Linked DNA regions of Caenorhabditis elegans. The protein of the gene in region 2 interacts with the protein of the main gene of each other region in a pairwise test. Each region holds a gene or a part of one and is shown on either strand. Other genes may lie near its edges.

Evidence for each region.
Region 1: the proteins of attf-4 (region 2) and Y52E8A.2 interact in a two-hybrid assay, tested with the Caenorhabditis elegans proteins (one large-scale study listed by BioGRID).
Region 3: the proteins of attf-4 (region 2) and zip-2 interact in a two-hybrid assay, tested with the Caenorhabditis elegans proteins (one large-scale study listed by BioGRID).

Annotation. Positions count from the first base shown.
Region 1 is NC_003280.10:4,318,336-4,322,710, forward strand, and holds Y52E8A.2 (RING-type domain-containing protein), read left to right. Parts: upstream 1-2,500; 5' UTR 2,501-2,519; coding exon 2,520-2,608; intron 2,609-2,657; coding exon 2,658-3,060; intron 3,061-3,113; coding exon 3,114-3,200; 3' UTR 3,201-3,282; downstream 3,283-4,375. Other genes in the region: Y52E8A.6 (UNC93-like protein MFSD11), read right to left, coding at 805-928, 977-1,052, 1,097-1,193, 1,240-1,427, 1,477-1,634; Y52E8A.1 (RNA helicase), read left to right, coding at 3,731-3,910, 3,957-4,103, 4,150-4,221.
Region 2 is NC_003281.10:6,077,861-6,085,919, forward strand, and holds attf-4 (AT hook-containing protein attf-4), read left to right. Parts: upstream 1-2,702; 5' UTR 2,703-2,715; coding exon 2,716-2,814; intron 2,815-4,304; coding exon 4,305-4,409; intron 4,410-4,930; coding exon 4,931-5,363; intron 5,364-5,412; coding exon 5,413-5,622; intron 5,623-5,765; coding exon 5,766-6,350; intron 6,351-6,412; coding exon 6,413-6,570; 3' UTR 6,571-6,888; downstream 6,889-8,059. Other genes in the region: ABC transporter ATP-binding protein/permease wht-1, read right to left, coding at 6,898-7,014, 7,209-7,338, 7,381-7,534, 7,593-7,821, 7,866-7,997, 8,041-8,059.
Region 3 is NC_003281.10:831,228-836,904, forward strand, and holds zip-2 (Transcription factor zip-2), read left to right. Parts: upstream 1-2,860; 5' UTR 2,861-2,947; intron 2,948-3,077; 5' UTR 3,078-3,232; coding exon 3,233-3,241; intron 3,242-3,293; coding exon 3,294-3,609; intron 3,610-3,665; coding exon 3,666-3,986; intron 3,987-4,100; coding exon 4,101-4,381; 3' UTR 4,382-4,584; downstream 4,585-5,677. Other genes in the region: ceeh-1 (Epoxide hydrolase 1), read right to left, coding at 500-624, 670-1,044; dos-3 (Delta and OSM-11-like), read right to left, coding at 4,588-4,999, 5,542-5,677. UniProt on the Caenorhabditis elegans protein: Transcription factor that binds to the promoter and the enhancer regions of target genes. May act together with the bZIP transcription factor, cebp-2. Involved in responding to mitochondrial damage.

The sequences.
Region 1 (4,375 bases), on a different chromosome or scaffold from region 2:
ACTGACTTTTGGTTCATCTGAGCTAGACGGTTTTCATATGATGAGTATGATAGATTGCAGCGTTGGAAGACTCTTCTCGAGAAAAACTTCAGTGGCGACTCCAGTTGTTTAATCAGATTTTTAGAGATCGGGTTGTAGATTTCACATCCGTAGTTTAATATTGGCTGCACATAGATATTGTACAATTTGAAGTAAAGGCTGGCATTTGTTGAGCGGAAGGATCGAAGTAACTGCCGGCATTTGAGAAGGGCTAAGTTCGAAATGATGTTTATGTGCTTCTGGAAGTTCAGCTTGTCGTCGACGAAGATTCCAAGGTCTTTCACTGAGTCCTTTTTGGTGATTTTCATTCCGTTTGCATAATATTCATTTTTTGGATTCCGCTTTCCAAAGTGAATAACATTGGTTTTGTTTTCAGCAAGGTTCAATTTCCATTTTGCGCACCAATCCGTCACGACATTGATTGATTTTTGAATAGCGCTGACATTGTCACCAAGTAACTTGATATCATTTAATGTGATTTTTTCGCAATTTTCTCTACTCCGAAAAATTTTGGAAAACATTTCAAAACTAGGTCTCATACTGTTAGGTAGATAGATAGGCAGGCAAAAAGCAAAAAAAATCTGCCTACTTCCCTGACAACCTACGCCTGCCCGATGATGGGCTGTATATGTGCCTACTGCCGAGCAGCTGAACTTTCATTAACAGTCAAAATGAAATAATCTTCAGTCAGTGACATTGTGCTCACACTCAATTTAGATTAGGTGGTAGGCAGGCAGGCATAAAGGCGACCTACCATAAACTCACTCAATGTCTTCGCGAACGTCTCATGCTTCTTTCTCTCCGGAACATACACTGATTGTGGCAGAAATGCCGTGTTAATCGCCGCCAATAGAGAAATGGAACAACAGATATAGACGAATGTTTTGTACTGAAAATTGGCAGAATTAGAAACAGATGGATGTTGGAAATACAATACATCTCCAGATTCCAGAAATTCGTTCATTTTTTGATTGTAGAACAGAACGTAGAGAAATATTCCACCACCGAGGAGGCTTGAAAAATCAAAATGGTACAGAGAATTGATGGAAGTACTCACCAGAACTTAAAAATGAACCAAGTCAGAGCAATATTTCGTTCAATAGTTTCACTTGTGCAGTTTTCCGTCAGATATTTTCCCTGGCCAACCCATATGACTGAAAGTTTCAGAACATTTGCGAAGCCCTCCTGATTCATACTTACAAGCACCACCGACACCCAAACTCGCTGAAGTAATGTACACATAATAAGTATTCATATGTATAAATCCATATTGAAATGCAATATATGCCGAAAATCTCAGAACCATTCCCCATTTCGCGGAAATCTTATCAATTATTGGAGCAACAAATAGGCAAGAAAGTGTGAAAAAGAAGTAAGTTATAGCAAAACTAAAATCAGTTTTGCTTTTGAAAAAGTGACCATATAGAAGAGACAAACCTATGATAACCGGCGTGAGGATCAATATTCCCACCGGTTTTATGCTTTTCCTCGATAAGTGGTTCTTGTATGTATTCTTGACTCATATAAGCAAAAAATAGGAGCAAAAATGAAATCGATAGTCGGAGCACATTTTTCGTCCCTTGGTCAATAGCCATATCCGAAATCGGAAGCCTCTAGATTTTTATTCCTGTAAAAACTACAAATTTGAAACAAAGTTTCAAAAAAAAGAAACTTGAAAAAAAATAATTTATGACTTGGAAAAAATATCAAAGGTTTATGACAAAGACAAAAACTAGGCACTCTACTTTTTGTCATTTTTTATACTATCCAACAATATTATTCTTCTCCTTTTTCAGTCATCAGTGAAACTTTTTTCCGAATAATCCAGAAATTTGCATAATTCCCTTTAATTTGGAACGTTCAATTCGAGAAACTTGTTCAAAAACCGTCAATATGTATCGAAACGAGGAACTAACACAGCCAAGCATCAAGTAATTGTATTTTTACTATAAAAGTGTTTTTTTTGGAATTGTAAATAAACCTTTTTCAACATGTGGTTTCCTCTTAAAACCTCTTTTATTTTTAATTCTGTGCCTGGAAATTTCAAAGACGCGGCGGGATCTTGGCCCGATAAAACTTTGTGCGCCTTTAAAAATGGGTACGGTAGGATTTAATTTCCGCTTTGGCTTTTTCGTTCAGAAAGATGTCAATTAAATTCAAATTTTCCTTATTTTATTTGTTTTTTTTTTGGAAATAATATTGAAAAATATATAAATTATTCAACAAATTCGAAATTCTTAATTTTACCTCCATTTAAATTAATTAACTACTCAATCGTTGCGAAACCCGTGCAAGAATTATACCATGTCCCTTGAAGCGGTACGGTAGGCCCACGTTTTGTTTGCCACGCTGGATTTATCGATTTTTCGGATCTTTTCTGAATTGTGCAGCTTTCTCTGTGTGATTTTGTCGTTAACTGGTTTTAAAAATATTATTTTTCCCAGAATATATTAAGTTTTAGAGTTTATCGATTGGAAATCATGGTAAACACGTTGGAAGGCCTAGAATCGACGAGGAATTTGATTTTGAAGGAAAATCCAATGCGACGAGCCGCGGAACTTGTCGCCAGGTATTTTTAATTACGGCATTCAACTAAAATTTTAATTTGTATTTTTCAGACTATCGGCAGATGAAGTTACGATGCGTGCCGCGAAATACGAGCTGATCAAGTTCAATCGAGCATTCCAGAATTTCATGCTAGTGTTGGATGAGAATATTGAAGAGATTCTGATGTCAAACGACAATTCTACTCGAATTCAGCTCAAGAAGCTTCCGGAATTTCCATCCTTCTCGGATTCGTTTATGCAAGAATATGAAAAAGCTCTTCTGAATGGCGCAGAGAAGCTCAAAGCTTCAACCTCCAGCGAAAAAGGATCCATCCCGTCAGTCTCCTTTTCTTCATCAATTTCAAGCTCTAGCGCCGAGCTATCAGATGCTCGATGCCTTATCTGTCTGGACGACGTTATTTCGACTGAAAAAACTATCAAATGCAATTCGTGTAGACGTCGGTTTCATCTCGATGTAAGATTATTCATTTCAAAAACCTTTTCATAAATAAATTTCAAAATTTTCAGTGCGCTTCCCAATGGTTCAAGGAAAAGAGCGTTTGTCCAGCTTGTAATCGAGGGATGCTGGATCCAACGGAATTTCCATCTCTTTAATACCTCGTTTTAATTAATTTTTCAATAATTTCATGTGTAATTCGTTTTGCTTTTTAATAATTACAGTTGTAATAAAACTATAACATAGCTTTTGGAGTGGTTTCGACGTCGATCAGAATTTTTCGGGATGTCGACTGAACTTGACTTGCATAAATTCAATCGCCTTAAAAAACACAGAAATTCGAACTTTTCTTATTTTTTTTCGGACAAAAAATTGAGAAAAAACGAAAAATTAATTTTTACAAAAAAATTAAAAATAAAAAAAACTCGAACATTCTATGAATTTACAGCCAAAATCATGCCAGACGCAATTCTACCGGACAATGATGATGATTTGGAGATGAATGAAGAACAGGAAGAGCCTCCTAGCTCAGGAAACGTGAAAAATGAAGATTTTGAGGAAATTGAAGAAGCTGTCAAGGGCGAGGAAAAACTAAGTTTCAGATAAAGAAAAATCCGATGGAGAAGAAGGCGATGAATTCAAGTCATCAGATGACACCCCAAAGCCCATTCAAATCTCCGAAGACAACATGACAACTAAGAAATTCTCCCAGCTCGGCGTGTGCTCCTGGATCAACCAACAGCTCGAAACTATGCAAATTAAAACTGCGACGCCGGTTCAGGCGGCTTGTATTCCAAAAATTCTCGAAGGAAGCGAGGAACCGGAGCCGGTCCCGGAGCATGAAATTCTTACTGTTGTAATTAACAAGGTATACATCCCGAACACATCCAGTATACTTATACAGATTTTTTCAGACATCCAGTCAACATTTTGGATGCCATATTACAATCTCAAATGGCATCGCCAAGGTTCTTTCGGTTATTCCAGGATCGCCGGTAGATGAAGCTCTTTATGCTGGTGACATAAACTTATCGATCGATGGAATAAATATTTATAATTATGTAAGAATTAGATTTTTTAAATGTAATTTTTTGTATTTTTTTGCAGGGAGGTTTAAGAGATTTCAAGAATCGAGGAAACATCACTTTGAAGGTCCAACGCACAATTGAAAAACAATAACTTTCCTGATTTCTTTTCGTTTATGACTTCCAATTGATTGATGAAGATTATTTTTATTTCATTATTGATTCAAATTCATTTTTCAATGTAAAAAGATGGAAAAAACAGATATTCAGAAGTGAACTTGAAAAAGAGACTTTTTGCTCCCGCCTGG
Region 2 (8,059 bases):
TTTATAAAAATATCCTGATTAGACTCCTCCAATTTTCTTCATATCTTAATTTTTAAAAAGTTTCATTAAATAAAGAATCCCCGATTGCCAAAAGCCTCCTTCTGAAACTCCAAGTCTCTCCAATTCTGGCATTATTAATTTAAATGCATAAAATCAAAATTTCTGGAAAAATATATTAAAATTGGATGCACTTTTGTGCTCTTTTCCATTAATTTAACCCATTCTTTTATTTATTAGTTATCGCCTTCTGTCGTGTGTATGTGTGTGTCCAAAACCCTTGCCTCTCTTTCTCTTTCAACCCAAAATGCGTCCATAAAATGTTTGAATGAATTAATGAAATGGGGAGTCGTTTACTACGCTGCGTCTCCTTTAAATCACTTGATCTCTCATTTTCTCTTATATATTTCCAAATCATAAGAAATTTTGAAATATATAGAAATTGAATGACAGAGAGAGAGAGAGAGTAAGAGTAAGAGCAGATGTTTGGCAGTCAGACAACGGGGGGACCGAGGCCCACATTAAAATTGAATGAAAAATTTCGAAAAAGAAAATTTTTATTTTGCATTCACGAGTGGTAGGGGAAAAAGAGGAAACAGCGATTAAATATATAAACATTGAAAACTTTTGGGCGGGGTTTAGTGGAGCAAGTGGGAAAGCTTATGAAGATGTTTGAATTCAGAATGTGAATTTGAACGTTTGGCCTAGAAAAACCAAAACTTCGGCCAGCGATATTTTTTCTTATGTAGGCCAGGATCAGAGCATCCTTTTTTGCTACATGATATAAAAACCTAAACTTCGGGAACTAATTAATTTTTTTCAGCAAACCTTATCTACAGTTTTCTGGATGCAAGATCTTTATTTTTAAAAGAGCTGCCGAGTTCTAGTATTTCTAGACCACTACGTGTGGCAACATTCTTTCTCTTCCTATTTTTAGCTCTATATACCCCGGTTGACTTGATAGGCGAATTTAATTGAGAATTATAAATTTTCCATTTTCCAAAAAGTAAAATTCCAAATTCAAATGTTCTTTCTCCCACTCCAATATTGTAACATACAATAAAATTTAATCCTATCTCTCTTTCCTCTGTGCTTTCCATAACCTCTCTTCCATTTTGCCCGTTGGTGGCAGGCGATGGGCGGGTTTGACATCGTCCTTTAAGAATAATAAAATGTGTCATTTGGTGCCCTCTTTATCTCTATTTCTCTATTCCTCTCTAACTCTCGTTTACAAAACGCCACCTGCTCTCTCTTTCTCTTCATTTGACCCCTCTACTCCCAACACCCAAACAGACACCATCCTTTGTTCCGTTTTTTTTGGTTTTTTGATGGTGGACAGTGGTGATGGACATTTCGTTTTACTCCATGTTTTATTTTATTCTAATGTGCTATGTGTGCAACCAACATCTGCCTTCCACCGGTATAATGAGATTTTGACTAGGGAAGGGTCAACTCATGGTCACGTTGGCGACTCTTTTGGGACTTTTGAGTGAACATTTCTAAATTGTAGATTTTTCGCTATGGCCAGTTGTCAACCCTAAAAATTGGGATTTTCATGGTTTTTAAGGTACTGTTTTTTTCATGCAATATTTCAAATTCAATTATCTACAAACAAAAATATTTTCTGGAAAATATTCAACTGAAAAGCCAGCTGATATTTTCCAGCATTTTGTCAGTTGATAACTTTTTTCTAGCATCACAAAGTTATGATAATTTAAAGACTCTCCACACTTCCAACAGAGGTAGCAAAGAAACGAAAAGCTCTCGCTCAATAGGGTGCTGAGAAGCTAGACTCTGCACTCTCTTTGCAATTCCAGTTAGGAAATTTATAACTAACTAAAAATTGGCAAAAAATATTTTAATATTCTGAATTTATAACGAACTTTTGGCTTCTGGGGTAGTCACTTTGAAAGCTACATTTTGACGCGCCTTTTTTAAACGCCTTTTCGAAAATTTTATTTCAAAATTCGTTTAGTCTTCAGAATACAATATGATTCTGACATTTTTGGCAGAAAATTACATTTTTCACACTCCGTGGGAGGTCTATAAATTCGTTTTATGTTAATCGTGGCCAGTTAAAATTTTCAGCGCGTGCGCCTTGAAACTTTATTTTTCAAAAAAAAAACTTTTCCCCCCGATTACGCCTTCCCCAATTCTCGCCTATTTTGTTACACAAATTTAATTAAAATTTTTTCTAAAATTTTCATTATTTTCTCTTTCCCTCTCTCTTTTTCTGCAAAACCCACCTAGAAAACAATTTATGTGAAATTAAATTGTTATTTACTGCGCAACCGGAAAAATAAAATAAAATTTAAAAATTTGTAAAATGCGAAATCAGCAATTCAAGTATCTCTCTCCCTCTCTTTCTGGTGTCCTCGTCATCCACTACCAGCCACAAAAATAAAAAAAGAATTTCGCATTTTTTATGTGATTCAGAGAAGTGTCTCCCGTATTCGAGTACTATTTTCGAGTTTTGCAATACATCTTATCAAAAATATATGTTTTGGGGTGAAACGGGAAAATAGAAAGAGAGGGACAAGTGAGAGAGCAGAATTTAATATTTTTGATGACTTTTTCAAACAAATTTTTTTTGTTGAAAACTTTTTCCCTCACTTTTTCACATTTCTTATCATTCTTCTTCGCTTTCTCGAAATTTAATTTCATTTTTTAAACGCATTATCAATATGTTATACTTAATATTTCAGATCAACTCAGATGATGCTCCAACCGCCAACTTTAACGCCGAATGCGAATGGTGAAGAGTTCAGAGGATCCGTCAGTACAGATCGTAGTTCAGCTTCTCCTTCCAACATTGACGTGAGTTTGGATTTTCATCGTTTTGATGTGAAAAAAGAACACTATAAAAAATTACAAGACATATAAAAAAATTTTACTGTATGTCTTTTTTCAAACTTGTTCCCATGTCTTACATATTTAAAAACTATACATTAAGCTTGGAGAGAGGTTCAAAATTTTTGAATGTCTGAAAACCTACATGGGCGACCTCTAAAATTTCTAGACTTTAACAACAAAAAAATTGTGTTCTAAAAAAATTTCGCAGTTTCAAAGATGTAACGCAAATACATATATTACACATTTCTCAATCTTTTCTCTTGTTTTCGCACTCGTTTTGCCCGCCTCCCTCATTCATTTTCACAATTTCTCTCTCGTTTATTTTTTGCCTCAAACATCTCAAGATGATTTTTTATTTATTTCGAAGAAACTCGCAATTTCATTTTTTTCAACATTTTTGCCTCGCTCGTTAAATGTAAGAGAAATAGACATATTTTTCGATATGTATTGAAAAAATTGAGGTGAGAGTGAGAGCGATGAAAATGTGCTAATTCAGAAGGCAAACAACTTTTTTTTTCGATATAAAATTTATGAAACATTTTTTTTCGTTTTCCATATTTAGAAGTGCTTTTGGAAAAGGTTTAGTTTTGCCTTTATGCTCACTTTGAAATAAAATTTGCCGCTGTGGGACTCTGTGGGACTCGGAACCACACATATTTTGTTTTCCCGCTCTTTCTCTCCCTTTTTTCTGTTTAACAAAACCTTTTCAAAATAAAAAAAAGAGCACAATTTTCTTTTGGTTTTTTTTTGCGTTGTCCCCACAAGAATTTTATTATTTTATTATCTACACATTACACGATAGAAAATAAAACGTAGCGAAAATATTATCAGTTATCGGAATCGTTAAAATTATTGAAAAATTATAGATGAAAAAAATTCTTCTTCTTTTTCTTTGATAATGATAGGAATTAACAGAAAATTTCAATTTAATGATGATTGTTAGATGCTCGCGGAGCACACGACAATTCCGTAAAAGTGCGCGAACAAACAAACAGACTGTTTTTTTTGTTGAAAAAGCGAACTTTTCCTCCTCCCCTTCTTTCAATTTGTGCTCTCAAATCATTCATTTTTCCTACAAACATAAAAAACCCAATTTCTTTCGATTTTCCGTATTTTTTATGGCGCTCTTCTAAAACCGCACTATTTCTTTTCCATTTTTTTTCAATCAAATATTTATATATTTTTTTATTTATTTTGAGAAGGAAAACGGACAGGGGGGAAGGCGAGGTGGTGGTTGAGCCAGCAGCCCGCTCCCTCTCCTGTCACAGCAGCACCCAGCCACCACATACATACAACCCTCAATTTGAGTGAATTTGTGACCAATTTTCTAAATTTATTTGGTATTTGTTAGGTTGCTGCACGAATTGCTCGAATATAAATATATCTGATACATGAGTTTTTGCAATTCTTATTGATCAAGCTTAAGCTCTTCTCTAATTCTGAAATATTTGTAGGAGATCATGGAAGACGATGTGAATCAGAAGGACGAGGATGAAGATCTGAACTTAGTGGATCGTGTCAGCAAGCTCGAGACAAATTTTGTATTCATTCAGCATCAGGTGAGTGAAAAACTATTAATAAATTATTTTATTTTCTAAATCGAGAATGAAAGAAGTAGAAAAATATATTTGCACAACAATTTCGACAAGTGCAATGTGTAATGCAACAAGTCATAGGTGTCTAGTATTTATTTTGAAAATTTCCAAAAAAAAACTCGACTAGACACAACAATAGGCTTACCGTCCGTCACACATACTATTTTTTTCGATTTTTCACCCGTGGAATTCATTTTCATTTTCATTCACAAAGTTTACATTTGACCATCTCTCTTTCCCTCTGTCGCCCTGTCTCGGGGCTCACGCATCGTATACATACCGGACAGAGGAAGCAGATTGAAGAAGAAGAAGTGAAGACAGCGATCGTCAAATAGTGTGTTTTGTGGGAGGAAATAGTAGAATGATCCAAAAATAAATTAAATGTCAACATTTATTGACGCGGAAAAATGGAAAAAAAATATAATTTTATCGTGGTGTTATGAAATTTAAAATATACATGGACCCATTGAACTGTATGTTTCCAGCTATCCTCTATCATGAACCATCTTCATGCTCCACAATGCAAGTGTACAACATGCTCCAAAGTCAACCAACCTGGAGCTGAAGAGCAGAAGAATGATACATCAGTGCTCTCGCAGCTATTCCCTAATGCTTCTGATCAGCAACTCAAGACTCTCCTCGATCTCTCGAAAATGAACAAGTTGCCATCACAAGTTGTTCACAAGGATCAACAGAACGGATCATCTTTTCTACCATCAGCAAATAAGACCTCTGAAAATCCAAAACCTATTGAACTGAAGCCTCTGAAGCTTGGACAAGGCTATCAGATGGCGAATGGTGGAGGTGGAGGCAAGATTCATACCGAAAGACTCTCAGAACCAGCGAGAAAGCAGAGCCGGAAAGTTGGATTCCCACCACCAGTTGCTTCATATTATCAGAGAAAGGAGAGCTCGAATCGTAAGTTCACTATACAACCACAGCGCAATCTAGAAACTCTAATTTTCAGCTTTGGTCCCGCCAACTCCATTGTCGTCCATCCCAAATCTGATTACAAATTCCAATGCAGTATCAGCCAACACTTCAACAGCTTCACCAGGACCCTCCTCGGAAGGAAGTGGTGATGATCATCTTGAGGCTCCAAATGAGGTGGCTCACATGCATTCTAGTACCGTACCAGCTACACCAACAACTCCAGGAGCCAACTTGTTCACTCAATGTAAGTAGATCCGCATGTTTTTTCTTAAATTTTTGCCAATTTCAATTATGCTAAAGGGAAGGAAATCTAACTTTAAGTAATTAGAGCAGTACTTGAATTATATTTTTTATCAATGCAAAACAAATTAATTTTTAATTTTTCAGCTATGGTCGATATGCTCAAACTGAATGCACAAAACGCTGCTCACTCGACAGGTTCTCCTGGATTCTTACGTGGACGTGGTCGCGGACGTCCAAAGCTTATCGGAGATGAACTTGATGCTGATCTCGTTGACTACATGGTTTCCCTGAAGAACTCAGATCCACATGGTGGCCACTTCACCGCATCTCAGGCCCTGCATATGGCTCGTCAATACATACTCGAAAGAGCTCCAGGCCTTCTCGAAGAGCATGGAGGTCATGTAAAGCTGAAGCTCACCTGGGCGATGAAGTTGGTGTCGAGAATTGGGGAACGACAGCGGGAAATCGAGCTAGGACTTCCAGCCGGAACACTGTCGAATATGGGACGAAACTTGACAAATATACCGGCTGGTGGCAATTTTATGGCTGATATGATGGCTCAGAACATCTTTTCGCAGCATATGATGATGGTGAATCAACAATTGGAAGGTGGATCTCCACCAGCATCTTCTTCATCAACTGCCACGACATCGACAGCCACGAAGACAGTGAAGCAAGAGTCGAAAAATGGACATCAGAATGAGGAAAATTTAAATGTGAAACAAGAAGGTGAGTTGTCACGGGTTCTAGTCCAACTTCACTTGAACCTTCTCTAAAATTATAATTTTCAGCCTCCACGATGCCCGAAATAATAAATATCAAAGAGCTCAATCTTCCATTCCTCAACAACTTCCTTGCCGAACTAAACGACAACAACTCGGGACTGATTGACGGTGAAATTGGTGCAGCAGGTCCATCCATGGCTGCTCTTTTTGCTCCGAACGCATAATTTTTAAAAACATTTTTTTGTTTTATTTTCTTGTTGTAACATTTTACTACTGAACCTCCATTCATCTCAAAACAGACCACCCGATTTTATGGGTATTTTTCGATATATTCTTATTGTCAATTACTTCTACTTTTTCCCTGTCATCACCTCTTCCTATATGTATCATTTTCTACACATAGGCATCACTTTCAACATGTTTTATACTTGCTTTTTTTTTTGATTTTCCAATTTTCCAATTTTCCGGCATCAACATTCACAAAACAAAATATGTTAACAAAATTCAAATTAACAGTATTCAAATAAATTATACAATCAAATATTTCCTTTTCAAGTATTATTATAGGAACGGATGAGAAGTGCCACGTAGGCAATTATGCGAATTCCGATGAACATTCCAAACAGAATTGAAATATCAAAAATTTTATGCGAAGCCGAGAAATCGATCTGTAATTTTAAACCATAAAAGCTTGAACAATGAAAGTTCCACCTCGTTGTGAAAAACTTCTTTTGAGCATTATTCGATGTTCAGAAAATAAACACCAAAAAGTCTACGATTTAGTTTGGTTAAGTAATCCAACACTGAGAAACAGATTTTTTAAATGTTCCTAAATTAATTTCTAATAATCCAAAACACTAACCGATTCCAAAACTTGATGCCCATTTTTTGGGCAGCTATCCAACGCAAACGCAGTCATTGAACTATTGAAACACTCCGGAATCACTTTGATCGAATCCCATTCATTGATCGCGAGAGCTTCATAACCGTATCTAAAAGATTTGTTATTATATAACACAAATCATCATGTTTACTTGAAATAAGAGAGCGAAGAGAGCCATTTAAAGTAAGATGGAATGGCGTCAAATGTTATGAAGAATCCTCCAAACGCCATAATTGGAACTACAAAGATTGGAAGTATTGTCATGGCTACATCAGTGTTGGCAAAGATCGTTGCGACAGCGTAAGCTGAAAAGAAAAGAATGAAGCAGCTGTCATCTCACAGGTCAAACTGAGCACAGCTTACAAATGGAAATTGCCACGTTTGTAATCAAAATTGTTACCAGCGACGCGAAGCAATAGTTCCAGAAGTTAGGATAGAGCCCAGACATCCAGTAGACAATTGTATTGTATAGAATTGGAAGGATTATGTATTGAGGGAGTTCTGCAATGTTTTTCGCAAGAAAATATGCACTCGTTCGATACACTCCATTTGCATTTTCTCGGAGTACAATTGGAAGTTCTGCCGTAATAACCTGAAGATTAATTCAAATTCTGAAATTAATTGGCTGCCTGGTACCGGAACATTTGGGAATTGAAGCATAAAGTTCATATTTCGAATGTGGTTGAACATTATTCCATTTATCGATATTATCGTAGCAGGTGTGACTGGAGTTTGGAAGAATACTATACCAGTTATAAATGCAGTTATCTATACAACAATATAAATAGTAATAAAGCAGTGACACACTTACAAGAATTTGAAGTAACCTG
Region 3 (5,677 bases), 5.2 Mb from region 2:
GAAGGCTTAAGGCAAAGCTTCTACTTCTTTATAAATTCATAAGCGGTACCTCTTACTTCCCAAATCTAAACGATCTGATCAGAATTACAGAGTCTAAAAGAAGGCCTATGATTATTATTTGTACAAAACCAAAAATTACTGATTTTTTCACCTCAACCGTCCCCGTCTGGAATGCTATTTTTCATAATACTCCCCATTTCCTTTCTCCCCGTGAATTTGTTAAAGTTATTGATTCCTCCATAACACGGTTCTGAATAATTTTGTTTGACGGTTATAATTAATTCTATGATCTCTAATTTCCCTAAAAGTCTTTTTTTTCCCTTTCTTCTCTCAATGCCGGTCTATTTTTTTCCTCTCTTTGCCGGACTCGTGAGGGTCCCGACTTTTTTATTGTTTTGATTAACTTTGATTAAACAATAAATTCACTTGTGGGTCATCCTCAACCGTGATTCCACTAGACTCGAAGTCTTTCTCAACAGTAATTTTTTTTTTAAAGCACCTGTATTTATCTGCAAATTCTTTCAACTGAAATCTCCAAGAATACCAAAACTCGGGGTATCCATGAATAAATAGCATTAATGGTTTGTCATCGGATCCAGTTTGGACATAATGAAGCCGCACTTTCTGCAATTTTTCATAGTGCAAAATTTAAAAAAAACTATTTTTTACCTTTAACTTGATGTACCTGCTGTCCCATCCTTCCAAAACGTTTGGCTTCTCCCGCTGCTTTTTCTCAAACAATGATCTTCCTTTAACCGCAAATCCCAGGAATAGAATTGCCGAGAATTTGACAAAATAATAAAATTGTAAGAGGCGGACGAGTATTCTATAGAGAAACATTGTCAAGTAATAAGAAAACGAACCGAACGCAAGGTCGTGACGGGAGAGAGGAAGACTACAATTTATCGGCCGACACAGACACAAAAAGTAAAGAAGATAACCAATAATTTTGTAATTGGGACAATTACATGTAGTGTGGCACACAAACTTCTTGTATTTAGAAAATTTGTTCAAACATTGTATGTATATACTTTCAAACAACATTTGGTCAGTTTTTAGAATGCGATCATTTATTTTCTAGTGTCATTTCACATCCTATACTTAAATATTTTGTGTAAGCGTGTTGGCTTGCAAAACAAGGAAAAACAACAAATATTTAAATCCTTTTGTGGATTTCGAGCTGGTGGTTTTAATATGCACCCACATTTTACAGCGCCTTCTTTGTTATTCTTTCATGTCTACATTATCCCAACTCCGGAGTTAGCTCAAAATTTCCTTTGATCTCCTGAACTTTGAAGCTGAAGCCACAGACACATTCTATTTTTGGTTTTCATTTTCATATTTTGCTCTGACTACAAATTTACGTCTTTGTTTTTCTGGTTTTTCCGGTTGCTTGGCAACAATTGCAATCGCTTATTTGTGTTCAATAACATAAAGTCATACAAACGGAAATCGAAGAAAAATTAATGAAGAAATGTAAAATTGAATATTTATTTTTTATAATTGAATCAACCAGGAGCTTTGTCGAATGTTGATTAATTTTGGCAAGCAGCCTTTTGGATAAATGATTCATTAACTTTAAAATATAAACGAAAAAAACTGTTCCTACGTTGAGAGTACTCCGCTTTGAAAATTATGAAACTACAGTAGTTTGTGACTAGGTACATCTTGTGACATACTGTTGCACAACATTGCATCAAGAGTGGACTATATAAACTGAACTCATTTGAAGAAAATCTTTCACATTTTGTATTCTCAGTCTTCAAATGGATCATATGATTTTCTAACAAGTCGCCCTTTCGACGTCCTGTCAATGCAATGTGTGATCAAAAAGGTTAGTCAGAAATACATTTTATTGAACAGGGTAAACATTGGAAAAAAGCGAAGATTACTCAGAAAACTCCGCTTATCAATCTTCAATTCTTATCAAATGACGTTATGAAGAATTGAAGCAAAAGTCCAATGTGCGATTGTTTAAATGGAATGTATATGTTCTATGAAGTTGTTATTATACCTATGTGTTAAATTCAAATATCGAAAATAAGCAAATGTTAATAAATTTGCTCATAGAACGCACAAGTAATGAGTTCACACCATATCTTGTCTGTATATAAAAATTCACAATGTATTTGAATAAATTATGTCGTACTTGATAAGTAGTGACGTCGGTTGTGATATAAATGCTTGATTAATTTTTGTTTGAATCACAATAATAGTTATTTTTCATACATTTCTCTGGGACGGTACGGGAACAATTTTTTACATGTACTTCAGGTATTTTTGAGAAGCTAACAATTTTCCATATCTAATTGGAAATCAATCATCATCAATTGTGACCTCCTGCAATCCAGTTTTTGTTCAATTAGAGATGCTTCATGAATTTTGTCAATGTGAATCAGAATACTTTCATACTATTTATACTTTTGTACCGATGATCACCATCTGAGTAACCCAACGATGGGTCAGAATGTGTGTTTCAGTTCCTTGATCTTTTGGTTGTGGTCTGAATCAACACATATTCCTCTCCACACTTCGTTCACATTGTTGGTCGGCTGTGTCGGTCGGCGCACGCTCACTGTCCTATTCAAACACACTCTGCCATCCCTAATCCTCTTGCGACACACAGTGTCTTGTCGACCCCCGTCGTCTGTCTCCGACTGGGTGACATCATGTGAAATCTTGCCAAATGTTGTGCAATAGTGGGTGGAGCGTCCGCTCTAACGTGGTTTTTGGGTTTTCTCTGCCTCATTCTTTCGTTTTGACAAATTGTCCATTGGTGACTTTTTGTTTTTTTTTTCTATTTTGCTTACGGGAATCGATTGTTTTGACATGCTTTTGCCTAAACGGTGGTATTTTTCAGCAAGGGACCAGTTTCAAGGTCCCACGACCGCCACCGTCCGCGGAGCAATCAAAACGTCCATCAGTTCGCTTTCATCGCCTTCTCCAGGTTTGTCATATACAAATAATAATTACCTTTTTAAATCATTATCTTATGACGATGACGTGGCGATCACCAATATAAAAAATCAATACAATTCAAATTAAAACGAATAAAATCGATAATTAATATATTTCAGAAAAGTTTTCCCCACCTAGCTAGAAGCTAGCTCGTTTGTCACTAGATTTCGACGGCCTTCCCGAAGATTTCTTTTCTCCACAATGTATCACGCAAAGACAACCACCGATTTTAACATGTTCAGTCAACAGTGTTGCTTCATGGACGAGGCCAAGTATGGAGCCGGTTAGTTTTTCATAATTGGACGAATATTTTATTTTTACAAATAATTGTTCAGCTATCGGCTCCACTAGCCGTCGGGTTTTCGGCTTGGCCTCCGTCGCCGCCACTTCCGCCGTTGGCCCACTCACCGCTCCAGGATGCAGTCCACGCCGACCACAACCATCGTCGGATCCTCAACTCTTGCAGAAACCTGCCGGATTGCCTGACGACTACAGTTCCTCAGCTTCACCAGATCAATTCTGCCGAGCAATCTCCACTACAGTTCACGCATCAACCAAATTGCGATTTAATTGTGGTTCTCGACGAGCAAACGACCTACACGACTACAATGACACGACGTTCCCTACCGAAAGCGGACCGTTATTTGAGCGGTTAGTTGGCGAATTTGAGCGAATTTGAATCATAATTTGAATAATAAAATTTTCAGAGCCCAACATGAGCACGCCACAAGCTTCCCACGGGAGCTTTGAATTTGATGTACCAGAGTACACATCCTTCGACTATGCATTCGATTTCCCACCGGTTCCAGAAGCCTTCCCACCAGCCGCCAATAGTTCCTCGGCTGCATCTCCAGATGCAGATTTTCTTGATCTGGATTCTCTCATGAGCTGTGATATCACATCTCTTGACGCCTACATTCATGATGATTCCATTGCCTCTCCTTCTAACGCTTCACACATTTCTCCTCCAGCGTCGGACATTGATCCAGTTGACGAGTTCTTTCCACAGCTTGTGCACAATAATAAAAGTAAGCTTAAGACAGTATCACACTAATTAGGAAAATCCACGTCATCGTCTGAACCCATTTATATATTCTTTAACTCAGCTCTTTGTTCAATTTAAACATTAAAAACCATTTCAGTTCAATCATCTTCCTCCTCAACAGTTGAAACGACAATAACACGTGGGCGCAAAACTTCATCGGTATCGTCCGATTCGTCATCGGACTACCGTCATAAACGGGATAAGAACAATCTAGCATCCCAAAAATCTCGTCAAAAGCGCCAAGCCAAAATTCGCGAATCAAAGGAGGAAAGAGAGCGTCTAGAGAAGCGAAAAGTTCAACTTCAAGCAATGGTTTTAACCTTGGAGACTCAAGTCGAGGACTACAAGCGATTGGTCATGATGTTTGTAAAGCGATAAATATATTAATCAGATCGCGTTTTTTTCTCATTTTATTGTGTGTGTACATAAATTCAAATTTAATTTTATTTTGTTCTCGTTTTTTTCCTCATTACTTATCCCTTATCCCTTATTCACCAACCTCATTTTATCTCATCTCATCTCAATAGCAAATAGTATTTATATTCCTTTTCATTAATCAAAATAAAGTAGAAAAATAGAAATAATTAATCATAATCATCAGGAATATTAAGGAAAGTTCCAATAGAGGGAAAGTGAATAGCACTAAACCCATCAGTACCTCCAACTCCAGCAGCTGGCACGGCCCAATGTGCACCATAAGCGATTTGGCCCTGGAGCCAATCCACGTTCACGGATTCCGGGTGATAATAGTATTTGTTAGCATGATCGCGATTATGTGGGTCATCTGGATTCGGCTCCCAGAGCCCTGGTTTAGTGAATGGTGATCTACTACGAGGGCGATGCAGGATTCCTCGAGAGTCGGTTAAAGAGTTGTATTGATCTAATGCATTGGAGAACACACTGTCCGAAAATACTGGAACTGCTGCACCACCTGTAGTTTTTTTCACGCGTGGAAGATTGGGAGCTGATTGATCGGCATCTTTTAGAACTTGATCTCTGAAAGAAGATTTGCGACTTGGTTAGAAATAAATATAACATTTTCATTATTTCTTAAAGCAATTTATAGAGTCTAACCTGTGAGTTTAAGAACCTAATCATATGAGTTTGTCTAAGAGACAAGGTCGCAATTAAAGTTCTAAACTCCAGGGCCTGCAACTAAAATTCAAAACCTAAAAACGTAAAACCTAGGACTTGAACCTAAAAATCGGAACGTCAGAATCGGCGGTTAAACTTAATTAACTAAATATTAGGATTTTATGTTTAAATCCTAACTATTAGATGCATACCTTTAAGTTAAGATTCCATCACTCGAATTTTTATGTGTAAGTCGTTATTAGGCTTTTAAGCGCAGGTCTGAAGACGTTTGTTCTTAATTTTCAAATCTTAAATTCGGAACTCTTCCTGATTTTTTGACCCTTCGACTAAGGCTTACATAATCTAAATCTTATGCTTTTAATTTAACACCTTCTATAACACATTCCCTCTAAAAAGTTAGCAAAACAATTTTGTTATTTAACTCGAAAATAGAAATAATTCACCTTGAATTAGTTTGCTTTGGAAGTGGTGGCGCCGCAATTAGATGAACTGTTGTTCCATTCTTCAAAGTTATTACTTTATCAACGTTTTTTGTTGTAGTTTGGTTCAATTCCATTTCAAAATCGACAGTGTCATTCT